2 linked regions of the Caenorhabditis elegans genome follow. The protein of the gene in region 1 interacts with the protein of each later gene in a pairwise test. Each region holds a gene or a part of one and is shown in the gene's direction. Other genes may lie near its edges. The genes, in order: F01G4.6 and Y17G9B.5.

What was found.
Region 2: the proteins of F01G4.6 (region 1) and Y17G9B.5 interact in a two-hybrid assay, tested with the Caenorhabditis elegans proteins (one large-scale study listed by BioGRID).

The regions. Positions count from the first base shown.
Region 1 is NC_003282.8:11,146,968-11,151,309, reverse strand, and holds F01G4.6 (Phosphate carrier protein, mitochondrial), read left to right. Parts: upstream 1-2,108; 5' UTR 2,109-2,350; coding exon 2,351-2,585; intron 2,586-2,628; coding exon 2,629-2,750; intron 2,751-2,793; coding exon 2,794-3,522; intron 3,523-3,570; coding exon 3,571-3,648; downstream 3,649-4,342. Other genes in the region: C08F8.2 (ATP-dependent RNA helicase SUV3 homolog, mitochondrial), read right to left, coding at 1-17, 89-313; pfd-1 (putative prefoldin subunit 1), read right to left, coding at 488-587, 640-785, 1,088-1,195; pigq-1 (PMT_2 domain-containing protein), read left to right, coding at 4,068-4,132, 4,181-4,319. UniProt on the Caenorhabditis elegans protein: Transport of phosphate groups from the cytosol to the mitochondrial matrix.
Region 2 is NC_003282.8:4,748,585-4,752,235, forward strand, and holds Y17G9B.5 (Evolutionarily conserved signaling intermediate in Toll pathway, mitochondrial), read left to right. Parts: upstream 1-1,655; 5' UTR 1,656-1,661; coding exon 1,662-1,815; intron 1,816-1,859; coding exon 1,860-2,087; intron 2,088-2,135; coding exon 2,136-2,634; intron 2,635-2,684; coding exon 2,685-2,856; 3' UTR 2,857-2,907; downstream 2,908-3,651. Other genes in the region: rpl-18A (Large ribosomal subunit protein eL20), read right to left, coding at 595-930, 979-1,185; Y17G9B.4 (Peptidyl-prolyl cis-trans isomerase), read left to right, coding at 3,535-3,651.

The DNA.
Region 1 (4,342 bases):
GACATGTGAATGTTTGTCTGAAAGTTGAAAAATGAGCTTTGGAAGATGCTGGAGTTGGCATTTTTGATGAGATCGAATAAGTTCTTACATTATCTAGTGATCCAATCCATTCTCCCATTCCCGCAGCTGTTTGTGTTACATGTTTAACTTTTCGAGGTTCGACAATATCCTCAATAGTCGCAGTTTTTCTCACAGAATTCCTTTTTCTTCTAGAATTCATTGCTGGAAATCTGGAGGAGGATGGGGTTGAGCTGGTTGAACATCTTTGAGTTAGGCCTCCCAGAACTCGTAAAACACCAGACGCCCTTCTCATCTGTAATATTTGATAGAAGTATGCACACGCTGAAATAGAAATAGAAATAACGGAAATCCAGAAATTGTTTTGAAAACGTTTATACGTACGCCAGAAGAGATTCATTCGAAAAAATGATGCAAACGTAAACAATAAAGCAATTTTACACACAAAATAGAAATTATTCCCGAGGGTTCAGCGTCTACTTTGAATCAGCTCGCGAAGATTCGTTTCAGCCTCCACCAATCCTTTCTCCAAATAGTCTTTCTGCTTCTCGATAGCTTCAATTTTCTCTCTGAAAATGGGATTGGTTGTGTAAACTGTTTTGAATGGAAGAATGAAATTACTTTGACTGTTTAGCTTCAGCTTCATGTCTGGAAATTTCAGCTGGTTTGTCGGTCAGCAGGAACATACGCCCAACAGATCGATAGTACTTGAGGTTTTCATCCAAATCCACCAAGTTCTTTTTTGTGCTCTCTGAGATCCTCATTTTCTGAAAAATTTAGTTATTAGAAGCGTTACTTAAGAGAAAAAGTTATACTTTTATGTTTTTAAATATTAAAAATGCTGAGTGTTTTTTAATGGATGTGTGTAATGAAAAAATACCGATGTACAGCAAAAACTTTTTTGGCAAAGCTAGATTGTAGTTGTGACTAGCTGTGACTATTTGTGACTTAGGCACAAGCTAAGAGGTGAAACTCGCTAGTTTCTATGTTATCAAGTTATGATGTCATACATTTCTCATAATATTTAAAGTATATCAAATTTCAATATTTAATATTCAAAAATACTCACCTGATAGTTAACTTTCTTATTTTGTTCTCCTTGAACTATCCGCATTCGTGTTTCATTGGTTTTGAATTGCAAGTCGCGAAACGCTTTTGAGATCTCCTCGTCGGCCATTTCTGAAGTTGTAATATGAAAGTTGATTTAATAATTGAGACAAAAAAGAGTTGCGTTAAAAGAAATCACGAGAAAAGCAAAGAAAACAAATTGATTATCTTTGAAAAGTTGATTTGGAATAAACTTTTGAGAGATGGATTATTTATCCACAAATTTTAATTATTTTATGATTTATATATGTTAAAAAATGAGATACACCTTTTAAATGATAAAATAATAATGCTAGAAAACAGAATTTTAGATGTTGTAGTCATATTTTAAAATAAAAATGGAAAAATCGAGTAGAAATGTTTGCTGGCGCATTGCCAGAATCGAGTTAGATGTGCAGGTCATATAGCAAAGTGACGGGAGACGACTACGGTAGGGGCCGACCATGGCTCAGAGAACGTCCATGATATCTTTTGAGGCGGTTTGCAGGCCCGCCAGTGATAAATTATCAGTTATTCTACGAATTTCTTGAATTTTGAGTTTTATTGTAGATTTTTGAAGCATTATATTGCAAAATCATCTGTGATATTTTTGTTAGTGTCTCTTTTACATTTTTATACTTCCCGCATACTAATTTTTCGTGTGAATATAAATGTTTGGCAATAATTTCGGTAATTTCCAGGTAACCACCATGAGCGTGTTCAGCCAGCTTGCCGAATCATCGAAGCAGAACCCATTCAGCTTGCCGGTCAGGTCGGGTAACTGCGCCAGTGCTGTTTCAGCTCGTAAGTATTAATTGAATTTAAAAAAAAAACTTAATATATTAGCTAGCATAATATTGTCAGTAAAATAGTAAATTCACGTCCTACTTAGATTACTTTCTAGAATTTAGTTTTTTATTAGGAGGGGTAATGACAATCCGAATTTTTCTTTACCTGCATTCTCTGTTCCCACTTCCCGTGCAGCGCATGTGCACACGTAAATTGACGAGGGCTGCGAGAGGCACGGCGGAGATAGTATCTCGCGAAAAGAGAATCGAGACAGACTATTCCCTCGTTTTGCAAAACGTGGCAACCGCGTTTTAAAAAGACATAGAATCGAATATCTGTCTGCCGTTCGACGTCGTTCACACGTAAATTTCACGTGGATCATTTACTATCTTCCACGTTATTTCTATGCTACCACATGCCTAGGCGGGATTATAAGCATTGTTATAATCGCTTATCAATGACGTCCGAAACGGAAGAGAAGGCTATGCCATTCATAGCTCGAGCCAAATCTCCTCATCTCCAAACTGGAAGGGCTGGCATTATAGTGATATTATGCATGTGGATTATAATTTATTTTTGGGGTGTTACCCAACTAGTTGACGGGTTAATGGACTGGCTGGCGTACGGGTCCACTCAATATGTTGCACGGGTCGCGGTTGGTGTTGTCACCACTGTAGCTTCTTCATATGAAGGTTTATCGCTCGAACTATACAATTTAATGTTTTTTTGTTACAGCTGGACAAGTTGAATTCGGAAGTGGCAAGTACTACGCTTACTGTGCTCTCGGAGGAGTTCTTTCTTGTGGAATCACCCACACTGCCATCGTACCACTTGATCTTGTCAAGTGCAGAATTCAGGTATTACGAGAAAAATCTATTCAACTTAATTGTTTTCTTTTAGGTGAATCCAGAGAAGTACACCGGTATTGCTACTGGTTTCCGGACCACCATCGCCGAGGAAGGAGCTCGTGCTCTTGTAAAGGGATGGGCCCCAACCCTCCTTGGATACTCCGCACAAGGACTTGGAAAATTCGGATTCTACGAGATCTTCAAGAACGTCTACGCTGACATGCTCGGAGAAGAGAACGCATATCTCTACAGAACCTCTCTTTACCTCGCTGCTTCCGCCTCAGCTGAGTTCTTCGCTGATATCCTTCTCGCCCCAATGGAAGCCACCAAGGTCCGTATCCAAACCTCACCAGGAGCTCCACCAACTCTTCGTGGATGTGCACCAATGATCTACAAGGCCGAAGGACTCACCGGATTTTACAAGGGACTTCCACCACTCTGGATGAGACAGATTCCATACACCATGATGAAGTTCGCTTGCTTCGAGAAGACCGTTGAGGCCCTTTACCAATACGTTGTTCCAAAGCCAAGAGCAGAGTGCTCCAAGGCTGAACAACTTGTCGTCACGTTTGTTGCTGGATATATCGCCGGAGTTTTCTGCGCCATCGTATCTCACCCAGCCGACACTGTTGTTTCCAAGCTTAACCAAGACTCTCAAGCCACCGCCGGAGGAATCCTCAAGAAACTTGGTTTCGCCGGAGTCTGGAAGGGACTTGTGCCACGTATTATCATGATCGGAACCCTCACAGCTCTTCAATGGTTCATCTATGATTCTGTTAAAGTGAGTTTATATCGGTATTATTTTTCTTAATTAATAAAAAAAATTCAGGTCGCCCTCAACCTTCCACGCCCACCACCACCAGAGATGCCAGCTTCCCTCAAGGCCAAGCTTGCCGCTCAACAATAATTGCACTGACTAGATAATGATTTTGATTTCCTTCCTTAATCGATTGTTCTAGCCATTGTATTAATTTGAAATCCACCCAATTTGTCTCTTTTCTCTCGGTCCTACTCTCACTCTTAATTTTTTATAACTAATTAGTGCACCATGCTCGGTTTTAGTGTGATTATCATTTCCTTCATTTGTTTCAAGTTGTCCTTCAATCCCGATGTCTTCTTTTTTGAAAGATGAGTTCTCTGGCAGTGTTTTTATAAATCTCCTCCGAACAAAACCGATCGAAGAATATTGTATACGTTGGTGTTAATTTGTGTGTGTTCTCAAGAAAAGACCTCAATTGGGTAGTTCAATTAATACAGTCCACCCTCGCTCGTTTTACCGTTGAATTCCAATAAAAAAAATTGATAATAACGTGATTTTCAGAATTTATGGATAAAATTACTAAAAACGTGGTTTTAATCAGGACATTAGAAGCAAAAATTCTTCTCGTCCGGTTTGTTTCCTGAGATATTAATATTTTATACGGAAACTTAGTTTCTAGAACATTTTCCTTCACACGTCTGTTGCTTCTTGATGTTGCTTTTTCAATTTACTTATGGAATATTTGGACACCAAATTGGGAATGGACAGTCAATGAATTTTGGGATCAAACTGGAAATGTTGCTGATAATTTGAACGGAGTAATAATATTTTGAACTTTATG
Region 2 (3,651 bases), 6.4 Mb from region 1:
GGAGACGCAGAGACACAGAAAGGCCATAGAACAATCGGGCGGTCGCTCTCGGGAGTCTGGGTGAAATATCATTCAGCGAGGACATACTAAAATGACGCTGTTGAACTTTTTATCTATGATCTGAAAGGTTTTGCCCTTAAAATACAAAAAATAAAGTTTCTACGAGATTTACCGCATTTCTAACGCTTACAACTTACAAAATCTACAGTTATCCAGATTTTTATCAACTTATCTCAATTATTAAGAATTAATTTACCTTATCGAAATAGTGATATTGAACTTTAAGGAATGTAGTTACAGATCTAGTAGCGTAAGAACTGAATATAGAAGAGCAGATATCTATATTGCAAAAGAACAAATTTGAAAATATTGACAAAATTTACCAGTCACACAAGTCAGCTGGGCGGTCCGATGCCTTATGGATCATTGCAATGATCATCTAATAACATCAACAAGTGCTGCGCACGAGATAAAAACAGTAAACAAATAACAAGCTGAACAAACAGGATTCAAACCACACAAATTTAAAATGAAAAATTAAGAAAAAAATTTGTTTGCAACAATTTATTGTAACAAATAACAATAATCCGCAACTTAGGCGAAGTGGGTGTTTTGGCGAGCGGTTGTGAAGACGCTGAGGTTCTTTCTCTTGGTGACGCGATGTGGGAGTGGGAATCTGATCTTGGCGTCGTGGAACATCTTGATTCCGGCACGCTTGGTGTCTTCGGCCTTGACGGTTTGGACCTTGAGGATGTGGATGCGGTCAGCTTGGGCACGATGACGAGCTCCCATGTCACGGTAGCACTGGGTGACGGCTCCGGCAACGGTGGTGTCACGGTACTCACGGTACATGTTGTGGTGTCCGGTACGGGAATCGTACTTGAGCCAGACTCCGTAGTTCTTGACGGTTCCTGGGTTCTTCTCGAACACCTGAAAATTTTATTGTAAAATGGGTTATTATTATTATTTTCCACAAACCTGCTTGATCGAAAGGATCTCTCCGTTGGCCTTCTTCACACGACGGAGCATAGAGACGAAGTACCAGAAACGAGACTTGGCGATGACGTGGTTGGTGGCGAAGATTTGCATCTTCCAGATTGGAGTCACTGGCTCCTTCTCTGTTGGGATTTTGCGTCCGACGACGACGTACTCATTAAGAGTCTCTCCAAGAGCCTTGGTTGGCATGTTTTAACCCTGAAAAACAAAAATATGATGCAAGGAATGGGGAATGAACAATCTGATATAATAGCGAAAAACAATTTTAGGATAACGTTACAATTTTCTTTTAAAATGGAAAGGTAGATGGGAATTACCGAAAAAATATGAGTGCATATTGCAATATTTAAAAACTATGAAAAAACTGTTAAATTTTTGTAAAAATCAGAAAAAGAAAAGCGGAAAAAAGCTAAAAAATAGGATCAGGAAAACCCAAAATGAATTTCAACGCACAAAAGTGTATGCGGCAGTGCTAGTTTTGTTGCGTGTTCTATTACCGTATCCTTCATACACTCGCCGTCGATTTACGGGGAGCGGTGGAGCGCACTTACTCCTTAGATTTTTAAGCAATTTTTTTGTTAAAAAGATATAGAAATGTGATTTTAAATGTTTTATTTTAACTATAAAGTTATAATATTAATTTATTTGTACATATTCAGACTTTAATGGCTCTTGCACATGTTTCACGACGGGTTATCAGCAATCAAATACGATGCTTTGCTGCAGCGAATCAAGAGACGAGTTTAGTACATGTTGAAAAGCAATTCGAAGCTATAGAACCGGAGAAAAGAGATAAAGATGCATTCATGGCAGCGATAGGTTTGGATATCTGTCTAGTTTCAACGATTAATCTATGTTTTCAGCCACGTTCAAGGAAAAACGAGGTCGAACGCATGTCGAATTTATCAACACAGCTCTAAAATATGTCAAAGAATATGGGGTTCATAAGGATATCGATACTTATAAAGGACTCCTTGAAGTTTTTCCAAAAGGAAAGATGATCCCACAAACTGTTTTCCAAAAAGTTTTCCTGCATTACCCTCAACAACAAAATTGTGCAGTGAAGGTTCTAGATGAAATGGAGTGGCATGGTAAGTACAAAGTCGTTTACTATTCATAAATTATCAAAAATAGTTGAGGTGTTCAACCGGATAAGGAGATCCATGATATCGTGGTCAACGCATTCGGAGAGTGGAATTTTGCAACGAAAAAGGTGAAGCGTATGCTCTATTGGATGCCAAAGCTGAAACATTCGAATAAATATCTGGACAGGCGCCACGTGGAAGGGAAGTCTCTATCACCCTCCGAGTTAGCCGGAATCGCGCTGAAAATGATGAGCCGAGACGCTGCGTCCTCTATTTCGCTTCTAAAACTGTCAGATTCATCAGATCCACAACAAAAATGGCTAGCCACGTCACAGAGCCCAATGCAACAGATATTAATTTCTGAATTGCGAAAAGGTGATGAAGTCTTCGTGGATGCTGCAAAAGTCTATCTACAAGACAGAGTTATTCCATTTATCACATTAACTGGAAATACGAAGCTGGAACCTTTAAACGAGTTCAAAAACGAAGATATGGACGAAGATTATACAAATTGGTACGCGGACTGGCAGAAGCAAAGAGGAGAAGCTAAAAGGTAGGTTTACAGTTCAAATTTTAGATTTGATATAAAATTTTAATTTTCAGATCGATCCACGAACAAGACCACGAAACGATTTTCGCAATGGGTGCTATGTATAAAGATGATAATGCAACAGCGATTCGATGGATTGATAATCTACAAAAAACCAACCCAAATATGGAGAACCTGAGGTTCCGAGTTCGATTGGAAGGAAACCCGATAATTTCAAGAAAATAAAATGTATTGTGTTGACTAGAATTTGAGAAACAATAAATAATTAACAGTTTGTGCCGATTCTCTTAACAGCTGACCTTGTTCTGCGTGTTTTTTTTTTGCGCTCGCTAGTCCCAAATGTTGTGATAAGACAACATTCACTTTTTTGGATTATTATGGATTATTGAGGATTGGCAGTACAGAACTAACTGCAACTCTGGGAGCGCCGAGGTCTGTCTAAAATGCCAAAATAAAAAATATATCCGGCGATAGATTTGTCTGTAATCCGAGATTCGAAATTGTTTTGTTTTGTGGTTCTATCAGAAGAACATGTTGCATGAAATTGTGATATCTTAAACTACAAGAAACAGGAAAATGTTAAACGCGGTTTTATAAAATAACAATACTGAAGCACTCATGAATAAAACCAATTTTTATCTAATTTTACGCATGAATACAGCGATTTTGTATTTTACTACGTTTTTTTTTACTACGAATTGCTATTGCATTTTTTTACTACGAATTGCTATTGCATTGAGAATATGAAAATAAGATAAAATAAATAGTGATTTATTTTGGGACGGTCTCTTTAAAGGCGCAACCGAAAAAAGTTCGCGCAGGTCTCGTCACGAATACAGTCGTTTCTTTGGATTTTATCGAATTGATTCGTTTTTTGAGTTTGGACAACTTTCTACCCTCAACATGAACGACGAGATCATCTCAAATCTTCATATGCTTTCGGCAGTGCATCGAAGTCTTCCACGTGATGCTCGTAAGGATTACTTGTCCAGAGTTCGGGGAAAAGTCGAACATCTCTAC